Stegostoma tigrinum: one gene and its partners. The protein of the gene in region 1 interacts with the protein of each later gene in a pairwise test. Links are inferred from orthologs where the notes say so. Each region holds a gene or a part of one and is shown in the gene's direction. Other genes may lie near its edges.

What was found.
Region 2: the proteins of rint1 (region 1) and fam81b interact in binary tests that used the Homo sapiens proteins (3 or more experiments, as listed by UniProt). The two-hybrid records come from large-scale screens. The link is inferred for Stegostoma tigrinum from reciprocal best matches to the Homo sapiens genes RINT1 and FAM81B.
Region 3: the proteins of rint1 (region 1) and c30h19orf25 interact in binary tests that used the Homo sapiens proteins (3 or more experiments, as listed by UniProt). The link is inferred for Stegostoma tigrinum from reciprocal best matches to the Homo sapiens genes RINT1 and C19orf25.
Region 4: the proteins of rint1 (region 1) and sfr1 interact in binary tests that used the Homo sapiens proteins (3 or more experiments, as listed by UniProt). The two-hybrid records come from large-scale screens. The link is inferred for Stegostoma tigrinum from reciprocal best matches to the Homo sapiens genes RINT1 and SFR1.

The regions. Positions count from the first base shown.
Region 1 is NC_081378.1:22,456,498-22,463,648, reverse strand, and holds the start of rint1 (RAD50-interacting protein 1), read left to right. Parts: upstream 1-4,135; 5' UTR 4,136-4,172; coding exon 4,173-4,322; intron 4,323-5,441; exon of another isoform or gene 5,442-5,587; intron 5,588-7,151. UniProt on the Homo sapiens protein: Involved in regulation of membrane traffic between the Golgi and the endoplasmic reticulum (ER); the function is proposed to depend on its association in the NRZ complex which is believed to play a role in SNARE assembly at the ER.
Region 2 is NC_081356.1:88,806,214-88,814,079, reverse strand, and holds the start of fam81b (protein FAM81B), read left to right. Parts: upstream 1-4,850; 5' UTR 4,851-5,106; intron 5,107-7,221; 5' UTR 7,222-7,255; coding exon 7,256-7,296; intron 7,297-7,866.
Region 3 is NC_081383.1:11,326,812-11,334,673, reverse strand, and holds the start of c30h19orf25 (UPF0449 protein C19orf25 homolog), read left to right. Parts: upstream 1-4,859; 5' UTR 4,860-5,001; intron 5,002-7,862.
Region 4 is NC_081373.1:15,987,241-15,994,572, reverse strand, and holds the start of sfr1 (swi5-dependent recombination DNA repair protein 1 homolog), read left to right. Parts: upstream 1-4,315; 5' UTR 4,316-4,371; intron 4,372-7,332. UniProt on the Homo sapiens protein: Component of the SWI5-SFR1 complex, a complex required for double-strand break repair via homologous recombination. Acts as a transcriptional modulator for ESR1.

The DNA.
Region 1 (7,151 bases):
GGAAATGTTGTTGTATTGGAACAATTAATTATTAATATGTACTGTATCTATTATTCAGTTAAGTCACTCTAAATTCCTCTTTCTTTTGTTTGTATTTTAACTATAGTGTTTAAATAAATTGTGTTTTGCTTAACATCAAGTAGTTTGACCAGTTGCAAAAACCTGGAAACACACACTTCACATCTATCTTCAAAATAAGAAAAAGTTAACAGTTTAGGCTACCTTCTTAACATGTTTTGAGACAGTCTGGTCTCGTCTGGTCAACAACACATAACAGGGACTGTGCAGTGATCGTTCCCACCAATACTGTTAAGGACAAATGCATCCGCAACAGGTAGATTAATGAAGATAAAGTAAAGGAGGTAACCCCCAGTGTTGGTTCTCTCATTAGCTACTGCGAGCCCAGTCTGAAAGCCTGTTCCTCCAAAATTCTATCACCTCAGTCAGTGATGGTGCTAATGGGCTACTAATCCTGATCAACATTGAAGTCCCCTTTCAGGATGACCAACTTGAAGGAAAAAAAATACAAGGTATGCTTTACTGGAGGAGTTGATGAGACTGGAGGAGTAGGGGCCCATATGACTGGAAGGAGAAGGAAGCTTCAAAGGAAAACTTTATGCAGTTTCAACAAAGTCAAGGGGACCAATATGACTATCTCAGTTCACAGACGTTTACCATCACGACATATTTCATATATTTTACTTAGCCTCCCTCCTTGATAGTATGTGTTGTCCCTCAAAAGGCCGCATACTCCTGATACATCACATTGCTGCCCAACCTCCCTCCCTCTCGCCAATATTAAAGCCCCTCTCTGCAAATTCCTAACCCCATCTTCAAGGGCCTGCTAGTAAATTCTCTTTCTGGCCTTCAAGTAAACTCTCCATCAGGCCTGCTCACCTTTTAGGTTTGCCAGATACTTCTTCAAGTCTGTCAGCTCTATCAGGGTACCTGGTCCCTATGTCCAATCAGGTCCGTGTGAATCTCACCCCATCTGCAGGTCTGCCTTGATCCTCCTCACCCTCCAGGCCTGCTATCCTTGATTCCAGAGTTGAGAGAGCTGGATTGTGAGGAGAAACTGAGCAGACTGAGATTATACTCATTGGAATTCAGAAGAATGAGGGGAGATCTTATAAAAACATATAAGATTATGAAGGGAATAGATAAGGTGGAGGCAGGGAGGTTGTTTCCGCTAGCAGGTGGGACTAGAGGGCAAAATAAAGGGAAGCAGATGTAGGAGTGAAGTCAGGAGGAACTTCTTCACCCAAAGGGTTGTGAATCTGTGGAATTCCCTGCCCAGTGAAGTGGGTGAAGCTACCACACTGAATGTTTTTAAGGCAAGGCTAGACAAATTTTGACCAGTAAAGTAATTAAGGGTTATAGTGAGTGGGCAGGTAAGTGGAGCTGAGTCTCAAAGGTCAGCCATGATCTTATTAAATGGTGGGTAGGCTCGAGGGGCCAGATGGCTTACTCCTGCTTCTAGTTCTTGTGTTCTTATCCCAAACAGCACCTGGACCTGACCGCTGCTGCCGCCACCACCAACTGTCAACACAATATCTCCCCATCCCCAAAGTTGGGCTTGAGAGTTCTGCAGCTGCTGGCCTCAACTCCTACCCCACACCAAATTACCTCTGGATCCCTCCAAACTCAGCCACCCGTTTGCCAAACTGATGTGACTCTGGGAAGAGTGAAAGATAGCACACTTGTTTACTTCTTTGTGTCTGTATGGACTCGTGTTTATGTGTGCACACTTTGCTGACTTTGGACTGCCCATGTTAATTCAGCAAAATACTCAGGCAGCAGCAAGAGGTGACTTGAGGTGCCTTCTCAGTCACTGATTAGAGGAACCGGGGAAGAATAGCATTTCAAATTAGCTTAAATTCTATATTTAGGAATGGAAGCCAAACTGACACCATCCCTGAAAACTTGGAAACAAAAATCAAAATAACTCAAAACACTATGTCTGGCAGCATCTGTGGAGGAAAAGCAGAGTCAAATGTTTTGTGTCCAGTGACCCTTCTTCAGAACCTTCAGGGTTCACACCATTGGTGAGTTTGAGGACGAGGACCGACACCGCAGTATAGCATTCTATCACAAACCTACGCATAACCTTACGGTGCCACACTTCTCTAGCTTCCACCAGAAACCTATTAAAACAACCATCCCTTATGGACAAACCCTACACATACACAGAATCTGTTCAGATAAGGAGGAGTGAAACTGAAACCTAAAGGTGTTGAAGGACACCCTCATAAGAACAGGATACAATGCAATACCCATCAATAGCCAGCACCGACATGCCACAGTGAAAAACCGTAATGCCCTCCTTAGAGACAGACGTGGGATACATCTGACACAGTGCTCTTTGTCATGCAGTGCTTCCCAGGAGTGGAGAAACTCTGCCACGTTGCTCACAGCCTTCAATGCATTATCAATGAGGATAAGCACCTCACCAAGATCTTCCCCATGCCTCCACTTCACGACCTCAAACAACTGCCCAACTGTAAACCATTGTTCGCAGCAACTATCCAACCTTCTGGACAATATTGATGACAAGTCTATACAACCCTGTCATTAGTAGCTGTTGTAAGACATATCAGATCTTCAACATGGACACTTGGGAGCACGTGGGAGAACTACCCACCGTGTGCCTGGCAGATACTCACGTGACTCAACCAACAGTGTTTATCTCATATGCTGCAAGGAAAGATGCCCCAAGGCATGGTACATTGGCGAAACCATGCAGACACGACAACAACAGATGAATGGACACTGCACAACAATCATCAGAAGGAATGTTCCCTCCCAGTCGGGGAATACCTCAGCGGTAAAGGACACGTTAAGCCTCGGATCTTCAGGTAAACAACCTCCAAGGTGGGCTTTGGAATACACAACAATGCAGAGTCGCTGAACAAAGATTGATAGCCAAGTTCCATATACATGAGGACAGCCTTAACTGGGATCTTGGGTTCATGTTGCATTACAGGTGACCCCACCACACTCAACTCTCTCTCTCTCACACACACACACAGTCTCTCTTTCTATCTTCCCTCACACATAAATACACACACTTTCTCTCTTTCTCTCACACTCAATCTTTCTCTCCCCCCTTCCCCCACACACACTTTCTCTTCCCCATTCCCCCAAACATACAGACTCTGCCTCTACCCCCAAAACACACACACTCTCTCTCCCCCTCCCCCCCCCCCACACACCCAAACACACCCCCCACACACTCACTGTTTCTCTCTTTCTCCCCAACTTCACTCACACACACAGTCACCCTCTCTACCCTACCCCCAAAACGTCAGCTTTCATGCTCCTCTGATGCTGCTTGGCCTGCTGTGTTCATCCAGCATCACACTGTGTTATCTCAGATTCTCCAGCATCTGCAGTTCCTACTATCTCTAAACAAGGTCCTACACCTAATATGCGTTGTGTGACCTAAAATGTCACCTCCTCTGTATACTGCAAAGATCTTTATTTCTCTCAGGACCGTGTCTTGAAAGGAATCTGGCGATTTACATATACATATTAATCAATTAAAACCTTCTAATTGATTTAAAGATTTAGCAGCATCTTAAGATTTGTTTAGTCCATCCTCAGTGGTGTGACCTTTTGATCTTTTACTTATAAATTCAATGTCTGATACTACCTATTTCACTAACACCTGAAGAAGGAGCGACGCTTAGAAAGCTTGTGATTTCAAATCAGCGTGTTGGACTCCTTTTCTGATGAAAGGTCTAGGCCCGAAACGTCAGCTTTTGTGCTCCTAAGATGCTGCTTGGCCTGCTGTGTTCATCCAGCCCCATACTTTGTTCTGTTGGACTACGACCTGGTGCTGTGTGATTTCTGACCTTGTCCGCCCCAGTCCAACACCAGCACCTCCACATGATTTCTGCAGATGCTGTCAGAGTTGTTGAGCTCCTCCAACATCCGCGGTTCTTTGTGTTTATTATCCGAAGAGTCTGGTCTGCGCTGCTGTTGAACACTGGCGTGTCACAAAATGGTTAAACATTAACTGTGTTTCTGTCTCCACTGGCGGTTTGAGCATTCCTCCAGCAGTTCCGAACTGTTCTCCATCGTTTTGCTGGGATGACGCCGAGTCAGCCTGTGCGCGGTCTCCATGGTAACCGGTCCGGTTGCCCGGATGTGGTGACGTGCCAGCCGCTGTCATGGCGGCGGAGGATGGGTATGGTGGCGAGCTCACTCAGCATGTGGTCGAATTCGTTGAGAAAGAGTTTGGAGACGATCCGACATTATTAAAGAAACTCCCAAAAATAATAGAGGAGCTAGCGCTGAGTAAAAGAAACCTGGAGGAGCAGGTACTGCGCCTGGGCCTTGTGGAATCCACTTGGCTTAAATAATTTCACGGTCTTTCCTCCCCGAAACGTGCATCAAAATAAATGCCATGCACACTGTGAATAAATAAATTTAAAACCCTAGCTTGAGTCTCAGGTATAAGACATTAGGTCTTTATTGAAATTGGAAATGTGCTAAGTATTTCCTCAATGCTAGTGTTTCGCTATTGAAATCACTACTTTTGAAAGAGAAATTGCACGCCTGGTTTATGTCTCGATCAAAGGAGGATAACTGGTTATCTCTCTGGTCAAAACAATGTGCAGTTATTGAGCGGACCTACCAGTATTTACCGTCGCTCATGTCTGGTATATCTGAAATATCTCTCGTTGTCCATAATGATCGTTTCAACAGAACAAAACATTAGCTTTCATCGAATATACTTAGACGTGCACTTTTCATACTAAGGCATTTATAAAATGGTGCCTTGTTGATCTGTATAACAATTTTTTTCACAAATTTGGAATGCCAAAACAGATATTAAGCTGTCACTCTAACTTTTTTTGCCATGTGTATGTGTTACTCAATATTTGTCATCCGTCCTGAGTTGAGCAGGAAGAATCAAACCAGATTGCTGTATGACGGAAGCCATTTTTTGGTTAGACTGTGATTATGTTTGTCGTAATATAGTTGAATTGTCAGGTTTATAGTGACCAACAAGCTGAAGGACCACCTGACCGGCAAAACAAATAGTCAGTCAGCCACTTGTTATCTTTTCTGTTCCTATTTCCTTATGTTGCCTCTAAGCAATGTTGCATTCTGGCCTGTGAGCCCGATAAAAAGAAGAACAGTAGTCCGAATGCTCAAGTAAATTTCTACAGCAGTCCTAGTGACACTGTGAAAGTGATAACTGAAGAACTTGGTTTGGTTTAGCTGCTCATCAGTCGTTTTCACCAAATAGTTGAACCCAATCAATAAACAGCACTACATGGCTTCCATTTTAGTTTTGAAATGTGCAGTTTTCTGTATGTGGGTGATTTAGTAACGTCCAAAAGTATTCAACACTCATTTTGATTTATTTGTTGAAATAAGCAATTGTAAACAATAGGACATCATTGACATAAAATGAGAGATTACAGAAAGTGTGGCCATGAACAAAAATTTTATTCAACATCTGGATGCTGTGTCTGGAAATCGCAGATGATTGATTGTAAGCACTTAGGGAGCAGAAGTCAATATGTAGAGATTTTTCCATTCTTCTCCATACTGGAATGTCCTATTTGTATCAATTCTAATAAAAAAAAGAGTTTGACCATTGTTTTTATTTAAAAATAAATTAGAGTACGCCATTAGAAACAGAGATCTTTACTTAGCAGTCTGTCACCACCATTTTACAGTAAATGCAGCATACTTGCTCTATGGATTACAAAACCCTCTTGAAGCTGTCCTTCTGACTCTAAGCATATTGATCTTGATTGCTGATGGTTTAAAATTTCATATCTAAAAAAGATTGTGCATCTGTTTATTTAATTCTCCACATATTTTGTATCAAATGGCAAATGTCATAACCTGATGACCACAGGTTTGACAAGTATCAAAATCCTATAGGACCATGCTGAACTCGAGCAGAGACACTTTGATTCCAAGTGAACCACGTGACTATTTACAACAATGCGTCATTCTCATTTGGTATGGCAGAATTTGAAATTAGCGAGTTGCTATTTCAATAATAAATTCTGAATAAATTAGAGGCTATAAAGGCCAATTGTGGTTTGGTACATTACCTATTTTAATTCTTGGTGACCGCATGATTGCTAGTAGAATTTTCATTGCGTAGTTTCAATTTTTATACAATGTAATGGTTGAAAAGAAAACCTTTTAATGTTTAAATCCATTAGCATAAGAAATGGAAATAGTAATGTGCCGTTCAGCTTTTTTGAGCCTGCCCTGACATGTAGTGAGACAGTGGCATGTCAATAACTTCTACTTCAACTTTGTTTTCCCACCCTATCCCTTGTCCTTTCATTCTCTCAATATCAAACAACAGATCTCTAACTTGAATATGATCAACAACCAAGCAACCATGACTCAAAGATTCACATCAAAGTATCTTGGATTACGTTTGGGAAGTGTGGAACATTCATTTTGGGTGCGAGGTCCTTTAAAATTATCTTACACTGCGACACACGTATTAAATTAAAGTGGCCAACTTGTGCACATCGAGCAGTTGAGGGGTAACATGGTTCATAGTGCTTTGAATGAAAACCTTCTCTACATCTCAATCCTAAATGGATATTCCCTTATTCTCAAGTGGTGAACCTTAAACCTTCAATCTCCTTAACGAAGGGAAGTATCCTCACAATATCTCGTTAAGCCTGTTGGGCAATTTCTGTTACAATTTGATCACCCCCTAATCTTCAAAACTCTAGGATATATAGGCCCGCTGTCTTCAATCTGTTCTCATCATACATTAAGACTGCAGAACCCATTGTTGTACTTACTTTAAGCATGTATATCCTTTATTGGGCATAAAGATCAAAACTGTATTCTGGGTGCAGTCTCAATGAGACCCCTTTCAATGTAATGGCTTGTTTATTCTTATACTCCAGATGCTTTTTAGTACAGATTAACATCTTGTTTGCTTCTTAATTGCTTGCTGTATTATTGGTTTACAGATACATATGCCAGCCCAGTTGGTGCTGTTGTGGCACAGTGGTAGCATTCCTATCTTTAGGCCAGAGGTTTGGATTCAAGTTCCACTTGCTCCAGAAGTATGTCATGACATATCTGCACAAGATAACTAAAAACAAAACTTCCAGTTCCTCTGATTGTCAACATTTTCCATTTTCTTTCAT
Region 2 (7,866 bases), on another chromosome or scaffold:
AGCTGTTATTATAGTCAGAATGAAGTCCACTAGGCCCACAGTATCTGTACCAATTTGTTGCTACAGCAACCAGAATCTACTCAACTAATTTACGCACTCAACATAGCCTCAGAGTAATGACTTATGAATTTAAAACAGAGATGAGGATTTGTTTATTTCAGAGGGGCAGTGCATCTGTGGAATTTTTATCAGATAGGACTGTTGAGATTAGGTCTTTAAGTACACTCAAAGCTCAGACGGACAGGTTTTAATTACTAAGGGAATCAAGTGTGATGGAGAAAAGGCAGGGCGAGTGGAGTTGAGGACTATCAGATCACCCATGATCACATTGAATCACAGAGCAGACCAGATAAGCTGAATGACCTACTTGTGCTCCGATGTCTTATGGTCTTAAAGTCTGTGCTGTTATATTTAAGGCAGGGCTGGTGATTGAGGTTGCAAACGGGGAGAACTTTGTGGTCAGTGACCACAATTCTGTTAGCTTCAAAACAGTGAAGGAAAAGGATATATCAGAACTAAAAGTTAAATTTCCAGGTTGGAGGAAGACCAATTTTGACAGTATTAGGCAAAAACTTTCAAAAGCTGTTTTGCAGATGTTTGCAGATAAAGGGATGGCTGGAAAATGGGAAGCCTTTAAAAATGAGATAACGAGAGTTCAAGGATAGTATGTTCCTGTTGGGGTGAAGGACAAGGCAGGTAGGTGTAGGGAATTTTGGACGACTGAAGAAATTGATGCTTTGGTCAAGAATAAGAAGGTATAGACAGCAGGAATGGAGTAAGTCTCTAGAAGAGTATAAAGGCAGTAGGAGTATACTTAAGAGGGAAATCAGGAGGGCAAAAAGGGACATGAGATAGCTGGCAAATAGGAGTAAGGAGAATCCAAAAGGATTCTACAACTACATTAAGCACAAAAGATTAATAAGGAAGAGAATAGAACCCTTTAAAGATCAACAAGGCTGTCAATGTGTGTAACAACAGGAAATGGGGGAGATACTAAGTGAGTATTTTGCATCAGTGTTTATTGTGGAGAAGAAATGGAAGATAGAGAACATTGGGAAATAAATAGCATCATCACAAAAAATGTCCGTATTAGAGAGGGGGAGGTGCTGGATGTCGTGAAGTGCACGAAGGTGGATAAATCCCTGGGACTAGATCAGGTGTACTCTAGAACTCTGTGGGAAGCTAGCAAAGCGATTGCTGGGCCCCTTACTGAGCTATTTATACCATCAATGGCCACAGGTGAGGTGCCAGAAGCCTGGAGGTTGGCTGATGCGGTCCCATTATTTAAGAAACATGGTAAGGAAAAGCGAAGGAACTATAGACTGGTGAGCCTGATGTCAACAGTGGGCACGTTGTTGGAGGGAATCCTGAGGAACAGGATTTACGTGTATTTGGAAAGGCAAGGACTGATTAGGGAATAGTCAATATGGCTTTGTGCATGGGAAATTTATTTTTTAGGTTAGATTAGATTCCGTACAGTGTGGAAACAGGCCCTTCGACCCAACAAGTCCACACCACCCCTTGAAGTATCCCACCCAGACCCATACTCCTATAACCCACACACCCCTGAACATTATGGGCAATTTAGCATGGCCGATCCACCTAGCCTGCACATCTTTGGACTGTGGGAGGAAACCGGAGCACCCGGAGGAAACCCACGCATACCCGGGGAGAATGTGCAAACTCCACACAGACAGTCACCCGAGGCTGGAATTGAACCCGGGTCCCTGGTGCTGTGAGGCTGCAGTGCTAACCACTGAGCCACCGTGCCGCCAATTGTGTCTCACCAACTTGATTGAGTTTTTTGAAGAAGTAACAAAGAAGATTGATGATGGCAGAGCAATGGACATGATCTGTATGGACATCAGGAAGGTGCTCGACAAGATTCTTTATAGTAGACTGGTTAGCAAGTTTAGATCACATGCAATACAGGGAGAGCTAGCCATTCAGATATAGAACTGGCTCAAAGGTAGATACAGAGGGTGGTGGTAGAGGGTTGTTTTTCAGACTGGACACCTATGACCAGCAGTGTGCTACAGTGACCGGTGCTGTGTCCACTGCTTTTTGTTATTCTTATGACTTGGATGTGAACGTAGGAGGTATGGTTAATAAGTTTGCAGATGACACCAAATTTGGAGGTGTAATGGATGGCGAAGAAATTTACCTCAGTGTACAGTGTGATCTTGATCAAATGGACCAATGGGCTGAGGAATGTTAGATGGAGTTTAATTTAGATAAGTGTGAGATGCTGCATTGGGAAAGTCAAATCAGGATAGGGTTTATACACCTAATGGTAAAGTCCTGGAGAGTGTTGCTGAATAAAGAGACCTTGGATCGCAGGTTCATTGTTCCCTGAAAGTGGAGTCACAGGTAGATAGGATTGTGAAGAAGGTTTTTAAATGCTTGCCTTTGTTGGTCAGTGCATTGAGAATAGGAGTTGGGAGGTCATGTTGCTGCTGTGCAGGATGTCGGTTAGGCCATGTTTAGAATACTGTGTGCAATTCTGATCTCCCTGCTATAGGGAGGCTGTTGCAAAACTTGAAAGAGTTCATAAACATTTACAAAGATGTTGCTCAGGTTGGAGGGTTTGAGCCATAGGGAGAGGCTGAATAGACTGGGGCTATTTTCCCTGGAGCATCAGAGGCTGAGGGGTGACCTTATACAGGTTTATAAAATCATGAAGATCAAGGTCTTTTTCCTGGGGTGTGGGAATCCAAAAGGGCATAGATTTAAGGTGAATGGGGAAAGATTTAAAAGGAACCTAAGGGGCAACGTTTTCATGCAGAGCGCAGTGAATGTATGGAATGAACTGCCAGAGGAAGTGGTGGAGGCTGGTACAATTATGATATTTCAAAGGTATCTGAATGGGCATATGAATAGGAAAGATTTAGAGGGATATGTGCCAAATGCTAGTAAATGGGACAAGATTAATTTAGGATATCTGGTCAGCATGGATGAGTTGGACCAAAGAGTCTTTTTTCATCCTGTACAGCTCTATGACTCTATTTTGCTTCTAAAGTCTGTGTACCTCCTCCATTAAAGATATGATGGTCTCTGAAACTGCAGCATATGGCATGCGGGTTAAGGATATAGGAAAGATAAGTTTGATGTCTCCTCTGTCTTATTCCTTGTTTTAGCTGTGCTTTTGTATGAGGAACCTGCTCCTTCCATAACCATTTTCTTTTGAATGAAATGAAAGAAATAGTTGCCAGCAGAGTGATCCTGGTTACAGCCTTCCAATGTTTTGTTGTGTATACACATGTACACAGATCTGTGAGTGCGTGTTCAAGACAGACTCGTCGAGGAGTAAGCTTAACCTGAAGTTTAGTTTTCTTTATTACATTATTTATTACATATTAAGACTAAATACTACATTTCATGGTATTCAGGGATATACTACACTGTAATCTCACTAAGTAAAAATCAAAAGAACTGTAGATGCTGGAAATCAGAAACAAAAACCGAAATTGCTGAAAAGGTCTAGCAGCATGTGCAGAAGGAAATCAGAGTTAATGTTTTGGTCCAGTGACCCTTCTTCAGAACTAATAGTAGCTAAGGAAATGTTGGGCTTTGTATGCATGAAATAGGGTGGGGGGAGGGAGTAAGGAGTAAACTATAAGTGGCAATAGATTTCCAAAAGAGAGAAGAAGTCACACAGACAAAGGAGTGGATAGCAATCAGGCTGCAAGGGTGAATAGCTATTAATGGAGACTGTTAATGGCTAACAATGGGTTGTGTATTGTAGCAAACCATGTGATAACAAGGCCTGGTGTGTGGGTAAGGACATGGGAGAAGGTGGCTGTATGGTTCCCAAATCAAAAATGAGGTGCTATTTTTCCAACTTGCATTGAGCTTCACTGGACTACTGTAATTTTACTATTACTTTATTGAAAGAGATGGCTCCAAAACCTCCTAATGTTAGTCTGTCTACTCCTCCTTCTTCTACGTAACTGTTTCTATCGTCCGCAAGATTAGACTTCAGGCTTGTGTTGAGCTCCTGGTGTGTTTCTCTCTTCCTCTCTCCTCTTAACTCCACCTCTACTGTGCTATTTATACCCAGTGAGCTACAGCTCTGAGACATCACTGGAAGATTGGACCATGGTTTTAAAGCCTTTACACCACAAGGAAGTCAAAGGTTTAATCTCTTGGAGTTGGTTGATGTTGCATGAATGAAGACCATGTTGTACAACAAGCCTTACATTAAAATAAATTATAAATCAATAACATACATAAGCAAAAACAAATTTTAGTTTTACCAGGATAACAAAGTGTGTAGCTGGATGAACACAGCAGGCCAAGTAGCATCTTAGGAGCACGAAAGCCGACATTTCGGGCCTAGACCCTTCATCAGAAAAGAGTCAAGGCCCGACACATCAGCTTTTGTGCTCCTGAGATGCTGCTGGGCCTGCTGTGTTCATGCAGCTCCACACTTTGTTGTCTTGGATTCTCCAGCATCTGCAGTTCCCATTATCTCTTCGGTTTTACCAGCACTGGAATCGTCAACTTGATGTGTAATTGGGTGTAATTTGTAATTTCCCTTTAATTTCAAAGTCAATAACTGTTGTGCATAAGGGGTGAATTGAAATTTATAATTTAAGAAATATCCTGCTCAATTAATTCAGTACTAAGTCCATGTTCCATATGTAATCTTCTGCCAGTCTTCAAATAATAAAGCCAAGATTAAAGAAAAATACATGTTCTTGGATTTTGGTGTTTTTTTTGGTCAAAACTGCTTCTGGAAGCCAATACATCCTTCCCTCGTCAAATCGCCTAGAGCTGAGATCAGAGGGCGGTGCTAGCCATTCGACGGTAACTTGGAAACAACAGTAAACAAGGTCATTCTCAGAGCGGCATTTCCGGGAAATTGACTCGAGTTATTTCACACAATGATCACACCGTAGTTTATGAGTCTTGTTCTGTTTCAGTTTTACAAAACCAGTGAGGTACTGTAGTGAAATGAATAACATGCGGACTGTGCTGATTGCTGTACAGGTTAAATTTATCCTTTGTATTCTCATAGTGTTCGATGTTTTCCTATCCCATTGAAGTACTCTGCCGATAACAGGGGAACACATTGCAAACAACCAAAAAATCCCGAACTATCCGGTGAGTTGTCTTCTCCGAAAATGGTACCTGGGGCAAGTCAGGTTTCACTTGGCACAACCGAACCTGGCCCAATTTATCCTGTGCATTTCAAGCTTGTAAAATATCTGTATGCATAAATCTTCGGGCGATTCACTGATGAATTTACATACTCAAGGGAAACGACGTGCTGTTTTGAAATGAGAACAATCGATTCCTCTGTGTTCTCGGAATGTGTAAAGCAGTAAATATTCAACTTGTTAAATCGTTGAACGTGTGTTACTGTTTTCGTGCACGGCTTGCGAAACTCTTGTTGTCACAAAGGGAAAATAGGAGACAGAGCCGCTACTCGGACGATTTGTGCATTTTTTTTAGCCACGGCTGTTGAACTACAATATAATATCTGGGAGCTGAAGTAGGCCACTGGGCCTGGCGAGACTGTTCTACCTTTAAATCAGGTGGTGGCTGATCTGATAATCCACAACTTCTGTGCCTTATCCAACCCAAGATTCCTTTAAGAATTGACAATTAAATAAAAAGACTCAAGAAGCTTGAAGCTCCCCAGCCCGTTGGATTGGCACGGGATGCACAAACACCCATGCCTCCACCATCAACACTCAGTAACAGCAGTGTGTACTGTCTACAAGGTGCACTGCAGAAATTCACCAAGGCTCCTTTCCAACACTTTCCAAACATATGTCCAGTACCATCTCCAAGGACCAGGGTACAATCACCTGCAAGTTCCCCTCCGTGCCCTTCACTATCCTGATTGGTTTCTGTGCTGTATGACTCCATGTCACCATTCCTTCACGTTCACTGGGTGAAAATCCTGGAATTCTCTCCCTAACAGTATTGTGTGTCTACCTACAGCACATGGATTGCAACTGTTCGAGAAGGCAGTTCACCACCACCTTCGCAACAGCAGTTAGGGTTGGGCAGTAAGTGCTGGCTAAACCAATGATGCCAAATTCTACAAGTGAATAAAAAAAATCTGCTTATTTCAGCCGTGAATATAATTAACAACCCAGCCTCAACAGTCCGCTGTGGTAAAGAATTCCGCAAATTGATTACCTTCTGAAAAGGAAAAATTCTCCTCACCTGCATCATACATGGATGACTCATAACTCTGACTTTATGTCCTCTGGTCCCAGACTATCCCACAAGGGGACATAATTTTTCTGCATTTCCCCACTAATGCTCCTAAAAATCTTGTTTCAATAAGATCACTCCTCATTCTTCGAAATCCCAATGAGTACAGGCCCAACCTTGTCAACCCTTCTTCATAAGAAAATCCCTTTACACTGGGGACCAACCTAATGAATCTTCCCTGAACTGCCTCCAGTACTTGTATATCTTTCCCTAAATAAGGGGATTAAAACTGTTCACAGTATTCCAGGTGTGGTCTAACCAGGGCTATGTATAGTTTTAACAAGACTCCCCTATTTTTATATATCTTTATACCCTTTACAACAGATTCCAACAGTCCTTCCCTTTTACCCGCTGAATGTGGATGATAGAGTTTTGTGAATCTTGAGCAAGGATCCTGAATACCTCTGTGCTGCAGCTTTCTAAGTCTTTTCCAATTGAAATAATGTTGAGCTTTTCTATTCTGCCTGCCATTATTAGCTATTATCACCTTGTGGTGGTGAGTTGCATGCATTTAAGAAGAGGATAATCCTGATCACCATTACATTAATTTCTGAACCCACAGAGATTATTACTGACAATCTTCTCACAATAGTCTGGCAAAATGTTTGAGATTCAACATATATTTCCTTTAAAATAATTAATTAGCACTTCAAGGTTAACTTTTGTTAAGGAAAATGCAAAATCTACATTGCAGAAACATTACAAATGAAATCTTTAGCCCAAACAACTCATGGAAAATTTAATCTGCCAGGGAGGAGGAACTAGAAGTATTGCAGCATTGAAGCTAAGTAGATTGTGCATGATATGTTAGATGTATACTAATATGTCTTCTGTGTTGTCAGTGTGATTTGTGACTTAAGATACTGAAATACTGAAATCAAATCTCAAAGATCAAATTAATGAATAAGAATTCAACTGAGCACGTAATGTCATACCGCATTTCAAAGCATTTCATTGACTTACTTTGTTTTCTGTCTTCTCCTCTTTTAGCGTGTTGGTGACTAATTTGAACTTCATTTTAAAAATGTCTGCAGAAAACCTTTTGCTGGTTCAGATACCAGGGAAGTAAGTGTTAGACACATTGGTTTACACTGTACTGTTATAATGCTGCAGTGATTGAACGAGTTTCCAGCTCCATGCATGATTAGAACAGGAAACAGTTTGTTCAACAGTCCATTGAAAGCAACATGTTAGCGTTAAAAGACTCTAATTATATTTCTTGAATTAATGCATTTAGCAATCTTAGTACAAACAAGAAGGCTATTATTATACTGAGGTAAAATTTTGATATGAGTTGACAGAGAAAATCAAAAGACTAAATTTTCGAGCTGGTGTTGGACCCTAAAAACAGAACTAATTTGGGGTGTCAAACTTGGGCATATTGTCAACGTATCCTTCCACACTAAGTTCTGGCAGGTAGGAACATAGGAATAGGGTTGGGCCATTGGGGCCCTCAAGCACATTTTTCCATTCAAGGAGATCATGGCTGATCTGTGGCCTAACTCCATATACCTGCCTTTGGTCTATATCCCTTAATACTCTTGCTTAATAAAAGCTTATGTATCTCATATTTAAAATGAACAACTAATCTGGCATTAATTGCCATTTGTTGAAGAGAGCTTCAAGCTCCAATAT
Region 3 (7,862 bases), on another chromosome or scaffold:
TTCTCCACAATAACATACATAGAGGCTGCAAGGAAGAATCTCATTGGTGGAGTTTGTGAACATCCTTAAACAGATCTTCGAGGAAGCAATGTATTTTCAAAACAGTCTGTACTGACAGAAATTTTGTATTCAATTTGATTATTCCAGATCTAAAATAATTGATACTTGTACTATAATTGCTATTGTTAAACATAAAAGTGTGTTTAATATACTGATATGGAAGTAAAGATCAAAAATTGAAAACATAAACCTTTTCCATTTGCTTGACTGCTTTGTGCATTGTTCCCTGTGGCACTGAGCAATGAACAACAGGAGGAAATAATGTGCCAGAAATTAAGCCTGTTGAATAGTATCAATTGCACCTCGTTCTGAGCAGAACTATTCTATGATTCAATCCAGTTAGTTATACAACCAGTACCACAATATGACACACACACTGTAGACCTCAGTGTCTATACCTCAATTGAGGCCATGCTGGGAGTGTACTTCCATGGATGTTGGATGAGGGTAGGATTTTGCTCAGCTATGAGTCCACAAAAGTCAAATCATATGCTAAGGCTTCCTGTCCCTGCTGACATTTCATGATTACTTGTTTGAAGTGCTATACATTAGCCAGCGCTCTTTGAACAGTCCACGCTCAAAGTACAGGAAAATTTAAAGGGAGAAAACACGATGCAGACATTTCAATTGCAATTTTGTATATCTACCAGTAGAGGCCATCAGAGTATTTACAAAGTGATAATGGGAGCTGCAGATGCTGGAGAATCCAAGATAACGAAGTGTGGAGCTGGATGAACACAGCAGGACAAGCAGCATCTCAGGCCCAAAATGTCAGCTTTTGTACTCCTGAGATGCTGCTTGTCCTGCTGTGTTCATCCAGCTCCACGCTTTGTTATCGGCGTATTTACGTAGCCTGCTTAGCGCTACTAAGAGCTGTGTAAGTGTGGAAATCATTGTCACAATTTAGGAGTAGAAAGTATTTAGGAATGTTGTGAAGAGATTAGCCACCTGACCAAAATGGTACAGTTTCCCCAGGGATTCAAATACCTCCAGCTGAGACAAGGAAAGGAATTTGAACCAAATTCACTGCTGGGAAAACTCTGGTGATTCAACTGGGTTCTACACACAGCTGAATGGAGAAGTCAATAGACAGCTAAATCACAGAAGGTGTGAAACCAGTATCCAAAGTGATTCAGTCAGTTTCCCAATGTCAGGTTCAGTTAAAATTGCCCCATTACATTCTTTTTGGAAAGGCTGCTGACCAAACTGGAATTGATATGCACCCCCAGAGCGGGAAGGAAGAAAGGTAACCAACATTAATACTTGGAAATGAACAGAGTGGTCTTACTGAAGTGTACAAGATAAATCTGGCTGGTATGTGCTATTCACAAGTTTTGCTGGCCTCTCTTTCTCTTTGACTCCAGCCAGATTGCACTCAACTGCTGTCCTGTTCCCATAGTGTTGAATATGCCACAGACACTTAAGTGTCATAGAATACCTACAGTGTAGAAAGAGGCTACTTGGCCCATCAAGTCTGCAGTGACCCTCCAAAGTGTATCCTACCAGGCTTGGCCCTGTAAATCTGCATTTTGCGTGGCTAACCCACCTAGCCCGTACACTACAAGCCAATTTAGCATGGCTAATTGACCTAACCTGTACATCATTTGACTGCAGGAGGAAACCAGAGCATCCAGAAGAAACCCATGCAGACAAGGAGAGAATGTGCAAATTCCACACAGTCAACTAAAGCTGAATTGAACCCAAGTCCCTGCCACTGTCAGCCCTCCATCCTGGTTCTCATATTAGAATGGTCACTTTGGGAGAAGCCGTTGTCCATTGTGTAAGTATTGTAACATTTCCAGAAGAGGAGATGGAAAATCTTCAATTCAAATACATTTAAGAAGTTAGATAATCAGATGAAGAAGAAAGGAATAGAAGATTATCCTGATAGATTGAGATAAGGAAGAGACTTGATGGGAAGCATGAATGGGCTAGGTCAAATGACCTATTTCAGTGCATCTATGTCATTCTATGAATTCTTACTTCTCCTTAAACTTACACTACGTACATTATCCTGACACACTGACTCCCTGACCATCAGGCCAAATGCTCCTGTAAATTGCCTATTGATTTTGAAGTATTTTGACATTGTTGAGCCTTGGATTGGAACCTTTAAGGATATGAACATTAATTTAATCACCAGAGTGTAACTACATGAAGCAACTGCATTGCAGAGGAGACAGAAGGTGAATGAAGGACAATGCAGAAAATGATTCCTGTCAGGCTGCCATTTATAACAGCTTCTTTAAAATAATAAAACTTAGAGAGCCTGGACATTGAATCAGTATTAATAAGTGTGCAGAGCACACTGCAGAAAATGTTTGCTTATGTTGAATCTTAGGTGAACTGATTTCAAAACCAATTTATAATGAGGTAGTGTTTTTCAGATAATAAACATTGTAAAGTTGCTTACTGGAGATGAGAGGGCAAGAGCAGGAAATGGGAAATGTATTAACTCACATGTCATTCCAATCTCTGTAAGTTCCAAATCATGTTTCTTTCTAAGAACACTGTTCTTCCAACTGGGAAAAACCATTAAAACTGGTGAATGAGACATAGTGGTCCAATGGGTCTTGGATACTTCATAATGATGGTCCAGTCCAACTAGTGCATTACTACTGAGATATTAGGAACTGCAGATGCTGGAGAATCTGAGATAACAAGGTATAGAGCTAGATGGACACAGCAGGCCAAGCAGAATCAGAGGAGCAGGAAAGCTGATGTTTCAGACCTAGACCCTTCTTCAAAAAAATTTTCAGAAAATTAGTTTTGCCAACTTGTTAAACTTTTAAGACAATCCTTTAAAACCTTGCATGGACAGTGTGGTTGTACATGAGGTGTTTAGGAAGGTCTACTACAGCAAGTAAGCCACTGGTGAAAACACTAAACACTCTAGAACATGTTTTTCACAGTTTTCACAATCTTTTAATACAATAATATTAAAACTAGCATTTTCAAAATTAGATAAATGTTTATTTGAAGTGTTCATTCACAATCTGTAGTATGTTTGTGTAAGGGTTTTTTAAAAAAATTCTGGATTTAACAAATTAGGATATCTGCAAAATGGTTCTAGCTAAATTTGTAACAATAATAAAGCACTATTACATTTTAGAATGGATATGGGAATGAGCTGTATTGAAATTATTACCCACAATTTAAAGTCTGTTCAATGAGTTGCTGAATCTGAGGAAAACACCATGGGAGATGCACAATTTATAACAGATAAGTTAAAGTCAATTAGACATTAATTTATGAAACAATACTTAGTTCAAAGTCTCAGAGATAGTAGGAACTACAGATGCTGGCGAATCTGAGATAACAAGGTGAGGAGCTGGATGAACACAACAGGTCAAAGCAGCATCATAGGTGCAGGAGAGCTGACGTTTCGGGCCTAGACACTTCTTCAGAAAATCTTCTGAACATTTTCTGAAGAAGGGCCTAGGCCCGAAACATCAGCTCTCCAGCTCCTATGATGCTGCTAGGCCTGCTGTGTTCAGCTAGCTCGACACCTTGTTATCTTAGTTCAAAGTCTGGCTTTGATCGCATTGCATACTGTGTGATTAGTCTTTCTCATTGACAAAAGTATCACAGAATGGTTTCAGTGCAAAAGGAAGCCATTCAGCCCATTATACCTGTACCGGCTCTCTACAACAGGAACGCAACCAGTCCCACTCTCCTACATTTTCCCTGTCATCCTGCAAATTCTTTTCTTTGGGTAATTATTAAATACCGTTTTGAAAGCCAAGACTGAATCTCATAATACAGAAAAAAAATGTGCAGCATCATATTTTAAGTCAGTCATCATTCCAATGCAAAACATGTTATTTCTAGCACCAGAAGAGTCTCAGTGGGTAGTGAATTTAACTATTGGGTCATAAAATTGTGAGTTCAAGATCCATTCCCAGAGTGTCCCCTAAAAATCAAAACTTGTCAATCCAGTGCATACTGGGCTGTCAGATGTGACATATTTTGAATGACACCTGAAACTTAGGCTCTGTCTGCTGTTGGGTGGATGTGAAATATCGCACGGCACTTCTTGGAGGAAAAGTGACGGAACTGCCCCACAGGCCGTGTCCCGATCCCCCGTGTTATTTGTCAATCAAGATGATAGTCACTGGATTGCTGTTCTGTGGGAATCCTGTTGTGCACAAATTTCTGCTGCATCTCCCACTTCACACCAATTTGCTTCATTTTTAAGAAGGTGCTTCATCAGGTTCCAAGCGATTTAGGGCGTGATGTCAATGCAGCACCTTTTTGTTGCTCATTGCCCATAGCATGGGCTTTCTTACGGGCATCTGTTACTCAAAAATAATGATGACATGGTGGTGCCCATGTTGGACAGGGGCAAAGTCAGAGGTGACACGACACCAGGTTATCACCCAACAGGTTTATCTGAAAGCTTGCAACACGCTACTCCTTCATCAAAAGAAAACTTCACCTAATGGAGGAGCAGTGCACTGAAAGTTTAAGATTTCAGATGAACGTGTTGGATTATAAACTGATGCCATGTGACTTCTGACATGAAAAACAATGATGTAGTCCTTAGGAATGTGTCAATATTTGTTGGGCCGAGCCCGAACAAATGAAGTTTGAAAACCTTATTTCAAGATGGCTCTGTTCTCAGGGCTGTGGGAAACAAATTAACACTGATAATAACTGCTGGATTAACAATTACAATAGTTAATTCTGGAATCTCGTTGAGTTGGGTCACTAATTTGAGTATTTTGGGTTGTACAATGATACAGGCAGGAGGGTGCAGCATTGCTTTAAGGGGCGTGGCCGGGCTGGTTGACGTTAGGCCGGCAGGCGCCGCCATTGTGGGAGGTAGGTGTCAGTTCCAGGCTCCACTGATACTCCGGGGCCTAGGCCTCTCCCTCCCGGTACGGAGCCGCTCCGGGGACCCTCACGGGACATTTGGATTGCCGCCTGAACTTTAGTTCGGTTAGTGCTCTGGGGCCTTTGTGCCAGGGTTAAACCTCAAACCTTAACCTTCTGTCCCCACCCGACACCCACAATCTACCCCATTCCCCACCCCAACAATCATCCTCCCCCCCACCCCCACAATAATACTCCCCCCACCCTCACAATCCTCTCCCCCCCCACAATAATCCTCCCCCCACCCCCACAATAATCCTCCCCCCACCCTCACAATAATCCTCCCCCCACCCTCACAATCCTCTCCCCCCCCCACAATCATCCCTCCCACCCCCACAATCATCCCTCCCACCCCCACAATAATACTCCCCCCACCCCCACAATCTACCCCATTCCCCACCCCTACATTCCTCCCCTCACCCTCACAATAATCATCCCCCCACCCCCACAATCATCCCACCCCCACAATCATCCCACCCCCACAATCATCCCACCCCCACAATCATCCCACCCCCACAATCATCCCACCCCCACAATCATCCCACCCCCACAATCATCGCCCCCCCCCCCAGCCCCACAATCATCGCCCCCCCCCCCCAGCCCCACAATCATCCCCCCCCCCAGCCCCACAATCATCCCCCCCCCCAGCCCCACAATCATCCCCCCCCCCAGCCCCACAATCATCCCCCAGCCCCACAATCCCCCCCGTCACTCTCTTCCCCCCCCGTCACTCTCTTCCCCCCCCCCCGTCACTCTCTTCCCCCCCCCCCGTCACTCTCTTTCCCCCCCCCCGTCACTCTCTTTCCCCCCCCCCGTCACTCTCTTTCCCCCCCCCCGTCACTCTCTTTCCCCCCCCCCGTCACTCTCTTCCCCCCCCCGTCACTCTCTTCCCCCCCCCGTCACTCTCTTCCCCCCCCCCGTCACTCTCTTCCCCCCCCCCGTCACTCTCTTCCCCCCCCCGTCACTCTCTTCCCCCCCCCCGTCACTCTCTTCCCCCCCCCCGTCACTCTCTTCCCCCCCCCCCGTCACTCTCTTCCCCCCCCCCGTCACTCTCTTCCCCCCCCGTCACTCTCTTCCCCCCCCCCGTCACTCTCTTCCCCCCCCCCGTCACTCTCTCCCCCCCCCCGTCACTCTCTCCCCCCCCCGTCACTCTCTCCCCCCCCCCCGTCACTCTCTTCCCCCCCCCCGTCACTCTCTTCCCCCCCCCCGTCACTCTCTTCCCCCCCCCCGTCACTCTCTTCCCCCCCCCCCGTCACTCTCTTCCCCCCCCCCGTCACTCTCTTCCCCCCCCGTCACTCTCTTCCCCCCCCGTCACTCTCTTCCCCCCCCGTCACTCTCTTCCCCCCCCGTCACTCTCTTCCCCCCCCGTCACTCTCTTCCCCCCCCGTCACTCTCTTCCCCCCCCGTCACTCTCTTCCCCCCCGTCACTCTCTTCCCCCCCCGTCACTCTCTTCCCCCCCCGTCACTCTCTTCCCCCCCCGTCACTCTCTTCCCCCCCCGTCACTCTCTTTCCCCCCCCGTCACTCTCTTTCCCCCCCCGTCACTCTCTTTCCCCCCCCGTCACTCTCTTTCCCCCCCCGTCACTCTCTTTCCCCCCCCGTCACTCTCTTTCCCCCCCCGTCACTCTCTTCCCCCCCGTCACTCTCTTCCCCCCCCGTCACTCTCTTCCCCCCCCGTCACTCTCTTCCCCCCCCGTCACTCTCTTCCCCCCCCGTCACTCTCTTGCCCCCCCCGTCACTCTCTTGCCCCCCCCGTCACTCTCTTGCCCCCCCCGTCACTCTCTTGCCCCCCCCGTCACTCTCTTGCCCCCCCCCGTCACTCTCTTGCCCCCCCCGTCACTCTCTTGCCCCCCCGTCACTCTCTTGCCCCCCCCCGTCACTCTCTTGCCCCCCCCGTCACTCTCTTGCCCCCCCCGTCACTCTCTTGCCCCCCCCGTCACTCTCTTGCCCCCCCGCCACTCTCTTCCCCCCCCCGCCACTCTCTTCCCCCCCCCGTCACTCTCTTCCCCCCCCCCCGTCACTCTCTTCCCCCCCCCCGTCACTCTCTTCCCCCCCCCGTCACTCTCTTCCCCCCCCCCGTCACTCTCTTCCCCCCCCCGTCACTCTCTTCCCCCCCCCCCCGTCACTCTCTTCCCCCCCCCGTCACTCTCTTCCCCCCCCCGTCACTCTCTCCTCCCCCCCCCACTCTCTTCTCCCCCCCCCCACTCTCTTCTCCCCCCCCCCACTCTCTTCTCCCCCCCCCCACTCTCTTCTCCCCCCCCCCACTCTCTTCTCCCCCCCCCACTCTCTTCTCCCCCCCCCCACTCTCTTCTCCCCCCCCCACTCTCTTCTCCCCCCCCCACTCTCTTCTCCCCCCCCCACTCTCTTCTCCCCCCCCCACTCTCTTCTCCCCCCCCCACTCTCTTCTCCCCCCCCCACTCTCTTCTCCCCCCCCCCACTCTCTTCTCCCCCCCCCACTCTCTTCTCCCCCCCCCCACTCTCTTCTCCCCCCCCCGTCACTCTCTTCTCCCCCCCCCACTCTCTTTCCCCCCCCGTCACTCTCTTCTCCCCCCCCCGCCACACTCTCCTCTTCTCCCCCACCCCGCCACCCGCTCCTCTTCCTCACCCCCCCGCCACCCCGCCTCCCGCTCCTCCTCCTCACCCCCCCGCCTCTCCCGCTCCTCTTCCTCACTCTCTTCTCCCCCCCCGTCACTCTCTTCTCCCCCCCCCCACTCTCTTCTCCCCCCCCCCACTCTCTTCTCCCCCCCCCACTCTCTTCTCCCCCCCCCACTCTCTTCTCCCCCCCCCACTCTCTTCTCCCCCCCCCACTCTCTTCTCCCCCCCCCCACTCTCTTCTCCCCCCCCCCCACTCTCTTCTCCCCCCCCCCACTCTCTTCTCCCCCCCCGTCACTCTCTTCTCCCCCCCCCCACTCTCTTTCCCCCCCCGTC
Region 4 (7,332 bases), on another chromosome or scaffold:
TGTGTGTGTGCGCGCATGCATGTAAGTAAAAGGGAGGTAACAATGGTGTAACAAAATGTGGAGCTGGATGAACACAGCAGGCCAAGCAGCATCTCAGGAGCACAAAAGCTGACGTTTCGGGCCTAGACCCTTCATCAGAGAGGGGGATGGGGAGAGGGTACTGAAATAAATAGAGAGAGAGGGGGAGGTGGACCGAAGATCTGAAATAATCAATCACTTTTGCCAAGTACAGAAACCTGGTCTGTGTTTTCTGTCAATCTGGGCCTAAAAGACACGTAACTTAGGGGATTCTGCATACTTTTTAAACTCTAACTTCTAGGAACAGTGGGGCTTGATTTTCAGCGTGTGATCCCAGCAAGGTGGAAAAATTTTCCAATACATCCATGGTGCAGTTGGCAGAATTCCACAGCACCAGAAGCATGCCATGGCAGCTGAGATTCAAAAGTGCTCAACTGAGATGGAACAAAGGGTAAAGGAGTTGAAACCGACAATGTCTGTGAGGAAGTCTGAAGCTGCTCTTGGACCCTTAGGGGCTCAGGTATTGATGGAGGAAATTGGACCTTTTGACCAAACCCAGATAGAGGCTTCCCATGTATATTTCCTTGATGCTATGGAGGAAGGAAGCAGTACACCTAGTCAGATATTTTATTTGTCGATCTGTAGGAAATCTGTAGACAGATTAAGGAAAACACGAGAAACACCTGATGCTCCAACAAAGAATGGATTGAGGACACACAGCTGGCCATGGCATTCGTAGGACTCAACCAGAGTGAGAAGGCAGAATTCATGACAGATGGGCAGAAAAGCACATCAGAAATACTGGGAAGACATCTAAAATCTACAATAGTTCTTTGAGGTACTGACAGAGGTCTAAGGGGACAGCAGCTGCCTCTCATAGCTACAGCAGAGGCTTTATGAGTATAATGAAGCCGAAGGTGAAGATTTCATTTCTGTATCCTTGGAGCTGGTGGTAAATTTGTTTGATCACATTGTCCTCCTGGGTCCCTCTTTCAATCAACAAGTGGGCCTAGATGAAGTAATGAGGGATGGGACTGTCCAAATGGATTGGAGGAGGCTCAGTAGCAATAAACCTCAATTGTCCTCCTTTGAAGCAGAAGAGCAGTCATCTGGAAAGGTTGGACTCCATAGACCAGGAACGAGGCTACCATCAGAGGGGTGGCTATCAGCATGGCTAGGAGTGTAGGCCTCAGGCTGAATAGGCACTTGGAATAGGTTGTGACCACAGCTGGCCTGTCTCCACAGGAAGTCTAATGGCAAATCCTGCCCAAGTGATGCTCCAAAGACTTGCCAGAGTAGTGACAGGGCTGGGCAATTCAAATGAAATTGCCCTCAATAACCATGGCTGCGACCACCATCAGGAGTAGAGATCCCATGTGGTGCTTTCACAGGTTCAAGGCCAGAAAAAAAAAATGGCCAAGCTGTACAAGAGGAATATGGAGAAATAATCCAGGTTGAAACTCAAATGTTTGCTTTGAGACGGTGATTTCTCAGAAGTTCAGAGACAGTCTGATTTCACAGAGTTTAAAGCTGACAACAACCCATTCAGCAACTTTTAAATGTCTTCAAAGCTGAGTGCAACAGAAACCAGGAAACATGGGACTTTGGGTGACACAATGCCTATGAATCAGTCAAAGGCAGTATTCCCACCTCAGTTCCCTCTGACTTTCAGACTAAGATTCCCAATGCACTTGACTGAGATCCAAACCAGGTCCAGACTGATAGATGGATGGGGTGAGGGTCCTGGAATAAATAGGGAGAGAGGGGAGGCGGACCGAAGATGGAGAGAAAAGAAGATAGGTGGAGAGGAGAGTATAGGTGGGGAGGTAGGGAGGGGATAGGTCAGTCCAGGGAAGACGGACAGGTCAAGGAGGTGGGATGAGGTTAGTAGGTAGGAAATGGAGGTGCGGCTTGGGGTGGGAGGAACGAGAAATACACCCACCCTCCTGCAAAAATTCCATCCCCTAGTCCCAATTCCTCCGCCTCCGCCGCATTTGGTCCCAGGATGAGGCATTCCACTCCCGCACATCCCAGATGTCTAAGTTCTTCAAGGACCACAACTTTCCCCCCACAGTGGTCGAGAACGCCCTTGACCGCGTCTCCCGCATTTCCTGCAACACATCCCTCTCACCCTGCCCCCGCCACAACCGCCCAAAAAGGATCCCCCTCGTTCTCACACACCACACCACCAACCTCCGGATACAACGCATCATCCTCCGACACTTCCGCCATCTACAATCCAACCCCACCACCCAAGACATTTTTCCATCCCCACCCTTGTCTGCTTTCCGGAGAGACCACTCTCTACGTGACTCCCTCGCTCCACACTGCTCTCCAACCCCACCACACCCGGCACCTTCCCCTGCAACCGCAGGAAGTGCTACACTTGCCCCCACACCTCCTCCCTCACCCTTTTCCCAGGTCCCAAGATGACTTTCCATATATAGCAGAGGTTCACCTGCACATCTGCCAATGTGGTACACTGCATCCACTGTACCCGGTGTGGCTTCCTCTACATTGGGGAAATCAAGCGGAGGCTCAGGGACCGCTTTGCAGAACACCTCCACTCGGTTCGCAATAAACAACTGCACCTCCCAGTTGCAAACCATTTCAAATCCCCCTCCCATTCTTTAGATGACATGTCCATCATGGGCCTCCTGCAGTGCCACATTGATGCCACCCGAAGGTTGCAGGAACAGCAACTCATATTCCGCTTGGGAACCCTGCAGCCCAATGGTATCAATGTGGACTTCACCAGCTTCAAAATCTCCCCTTCCCCCACCGCATCCCAAAATCAGCCCAGTTCATCCCCTCCCCCCACAGCATCACACAACCAGCCCAGCTCATCCCCTCCCCCCACTGCATCCCAAAACCAGCCCAGCCAGCCTCTGCCTCCCTAACCTGTTCTTCCTCTCACCCAACCCTTCCTCCCACCCCAAGCCGCACCTCCATTTCCTACCTACTAACCTCATCCCACCTCCTTGACCTGTCCGTCTTCCCTGGACTGACCTATCCCCTCCCTACTTCCCCACCTATACTCTCCTCTCCAACTATCTTCTTTTCTCTCCATCTTCGGTCCACCTCCCCCTCTCTCTCTATTTATTCCAGAACCCTCTCCCCATCCCCCTCTCTGATGAAGGGTCTAGGCCCGAAACGTCAGCTTTAGAGCTCCTGAGATTCTGCTTGGCCTGCTGTATTCATCCAGCTTCACACTTTATTTTCTTGGATTCTCCAGCATCTGCAGTTCCCAATATCCCAGACTGATAGAGCCCTGTTTGGTTTCACCTTTGCCATCTATCGCAAAACAGGGCCCTCAGACGGTCCAGGAAGGCACAACATCGACAAAGCATGCACCAGCTGTTCAGGGAGTCCAAGCAGGAATGAAAACTGTTGAGGTGCTGAAAGAGGATCGGTGGGGAGGATGGAGTCCTCTACTGGCTGGTTCATAATAAGGAGAGAGAAGTGAAGTAATTCATCTTTCCTGACAGCTTCAAGTGCCAACTGTTAGTAATGACTGACAAGTAAGCAGGACACCAAGTGACAATAAAAAACCACTTCCCTGACCAGAAAGCAGTATTCTGGCCTGGGATAGCTGCTGCTGTGGAAATTGTTAGAGGTGCACTTTGGCCAAGCTGGAAAGTGGTTGCGCCCCATCATGGGATCCCCATCACCAAGAGGCCACTTGGAGTTCCTTGCAATAGATTTCATGGTCTTCAACTCCAGTAGTAATATGCTTGAGCCATTCTCATACTCAAGAATGTCTTCATCAAGATCATGCAGTCCATTCCAACCTGTGACCAAAAGACCTGAATTATAACCAGAGTGGTAAATGTATTTCTCATGACTCACAAAACAAAAAATTAAGAAATCATCATCCTTCTTGATGCTGCTCAATATTCCTGATGGTGTTTGGCTTTACATATTGGGATGCCTTCCGGATCAAGATATTCTACAACCTAATGAGTGTGATCTGCCACAAAGCTGTATCACATGGAAGGTACCAACACAAATCAGAGGCTGGGAAGGTCCTCTCAAGCAAATACTGGATGTCGCCTCAAACCCTATCATTTGCCAAAATTGGTAATTCATTAAGAGAATGTGGACATGAACAGTGTAGCCATAATGGTACAAATGAACCTGACCACATAACTGCTTGCTCAGAGGTCACTGTGGGCTGTGTGTAGTTGCCAGGATGGGCAAGCATGTAATGGGGCCTCCAGCAGGTGGCAATGGTGAGGGAGGGCATCCAGCAGAGACTTAGACCGGTCTAGTTGGTGCTCTCTGGAGGAGAGGGTATCTTTGTCAGAAAGAGTCCCCATGGAAAAAGGAGAGACAAAGGATTTCCTCAAACTGGTAAGAACTATAAATGTAATTCTATGTGAACACTGGTTTTCTGGTTGAACCTTAAATCCTTTTCAAATGTGTAAAGATCTGATGTCAGTGGAATGAAAAATCATTGCTTCATGATTTTCAAGTTGTCTGTATGCTTCAGTTAAGTTTTAAAGCAGAGCTGCAGGTTGCAATCTCACCAATGCCCTGTACCAAATTATTAAGATTTGATTACCTCTATATTCCATCCTGCTTACAATAAAGTCTATTACAACTTCCTACTGTACCTGCATGCCAATATTTTTTGAGTCAATTACAAGGACACCAAGATCCCTCTGTACCACAACATTCTGCAGTCTCTCTCCATTTAAATAAAATACAGTGTTTCTGGTTTTCCTGTCAAAGTGGACCTCAAATTTTGCCACACAAATTTTGGCATCTGCCAAATTTTTGCCCACTTACTTAATCTATCTACACCATTCTAAAGATCTTTGTCTTCCTAACAACTTGTTTTCCACCACAGCAAACTCTACCTCCCCATCTTCATCAAATTTGGCTCCAGTACAATTGGTCTCTTTATACTGATCATTGTAGGTTGTAAATAGTTGAGGTCCCCGCACTGATCCCTGTCACACTCGTTACAGTTTACCGATCTGAAAATGTCCCATTTGTCCCAACTCTATTTTCTGTTAGTTAGCTTATCCTTTATCCATATCTCACCATTGCTTTTGTGCATTATCCTTTTATGTGGTATCCTATCAATTATTAAAACAAATAATACAAAGAAAGGTAAGGATTTCTGCTCAGGCACAAAATGGACTTTGTAATTTTTTGGGATTTCATTCCCACCCCAAGTCCTTCAGCAATATTTCATCTTATTTAGCTTCATACAGTTCTGATTCAAGAGTGTCGCATCAAATGGTTAATATGGTCCCACCCACTGACAGGGAACAAGAGGGTATGGACGAAGGAATAGGGAATGTGTTTGAAGAAATGTAATAATATGCCATTAGTGTACTGACTGGCTTGTGGTAATCATTTGACCTCTGCTGTACATGCATTTCTGTGCAACATGTGGATAGCCATTAAATATATCACTTGAATCCTGGTGTCAGACTAGTATAACCGAAACTGTGGAATTGCAGAACTGGAAGAGAGTGAGAAAATGAAAGAGACAGCAAAGAAGGAGTAAATCAAATTATGGAATGAGTCTAAATGGCTATTTATTTTCCACTCCCTGTTACTACGGAAATGAAGGGATATATGAATTAGAATTGGAATTTTATTCACTCTGTGGCAAAACTGTGAAGGAGCAACAGAATTGTTTCAACAATTAAGCCTGAGCACATAACAATTGCAACCCTACCGTTAATGCTGGGGAAAAAGTGTTATCAGCTGTATTACAGTCTAGGTTTCAGCAAGAAATATCAGGGAGAAAAGATTTTCAATGCTTTGAAGGCACGCTTTTAGTCCCGTATTTATGTTACATATGAATGGTATGTGTTAACATCAGAGTTCAGGAATGAGGGAGACTGTTTATCAGGATGTGACCACATTGATATATCAAGTTGAATCCTGTGAATTTCGATAACTGAAAGTTGATCTCCTCCAAAATAATATTGTCTTAAGCATTAGCGATCCTAAAGTGAGAGCAGGTTTGCTGTAAGAGGAGACATTTACTTTCAAGAAAACTTTTGATAATGCAGAAACTCTGAGGTTGACAATTTGCAGCTAGAGTGTAAAATGGAAGAGCAGATGATGGTTTGCATTAAGGTGAGAGACATTCCAAGCTGAACAAGAGCACCAAACTGTGAGAAAGGAAAGGAAGAAATATTAGTATAAAACCTGCTGGTGGTTCAAAAAGTAGTGCAAAGAGTGCGCCTACACAAAGAAGAAATCATCATTATTTCAGGAACAACAGAAATTCTTATAATGACTTTAACATGTGAAAGTTTAAATGAAACAGAAACTGATAATGTTAATTGCACTTAGGATCTTTTTCCAAGATATTTTGGGTGGCGTCCCAAATATTAACTCCTGTAAACTTCAGGAAGATTAACAAGCCCAAAGTTTAGCAGAAAAGCAATGATGAAGAGAGTATTTATTGAAGTTCTGCTCTGAGTTACAAACTAATTAAAATAATCAGCCAAAAAGAAAATTTTTCTGCTTAAATAATTGCCAAAAAGGACCTTGTGCCAGCACCCTGGACTGATTCGTTCAATCCTTTTGAAGTAGATTGGTTGTTTAACTACATTCAAGGGGCTATACCAATATCAGTTGCTATCAAAGAATGGGTCATTTGCTTTCATTGCTCAGACCTTTTGGGTTGGGACATCACTTTGAGATTGTCCAGGACATTGATAAGGCCTCTTCTATAGTACTGTGACCAATTCTGGATGGCCTGTTATAGGAAGGATAATGGAGGGTTTGAGTTACAAAATGAAATTGGAAAGTCTGGGACTTTTTTAACTGAAATTTAGGAGGTCAAGGGGAGACCTTATTGAGGCTTATAAAATCACGAGGGACATAGATAATGACAAACGTCTTTTCCCTTAAGGGAGTTCAAAACCAGGGGACATATTTTGAAGGAGAAAGATTTAAAAAGGACATGAAGTGCAACCTTTCTTTAAATAGAGCGTGGTTTGTGCGTGGAATGACCTGCCAGAAGAAGTGACGGGTGCAGGTACACTTAGAACATTTATAAGACATTTGGATAAGTACATGACTAGGAAAGGTTTGAAGGGATATTGGCCAAGCACAGATAGATGGGACTGGTTTAGTTTGGGAATACCATCAGCTTGGATTGTTTGGGCCGAAGGGTCTGTTTCAGTGCTGTACGGCTCTGACTCTTACGGTTGCTGGTTACGATCGGCAGCAGGCAGGGAGACTTCAGCAGGTATAATCAGAGATAATGGGAACTGCAGATGCTGGAGAATTCCAAGATAATAAAATGTGAGGCTGGATGAACACAGCAGGCCAAGCAGC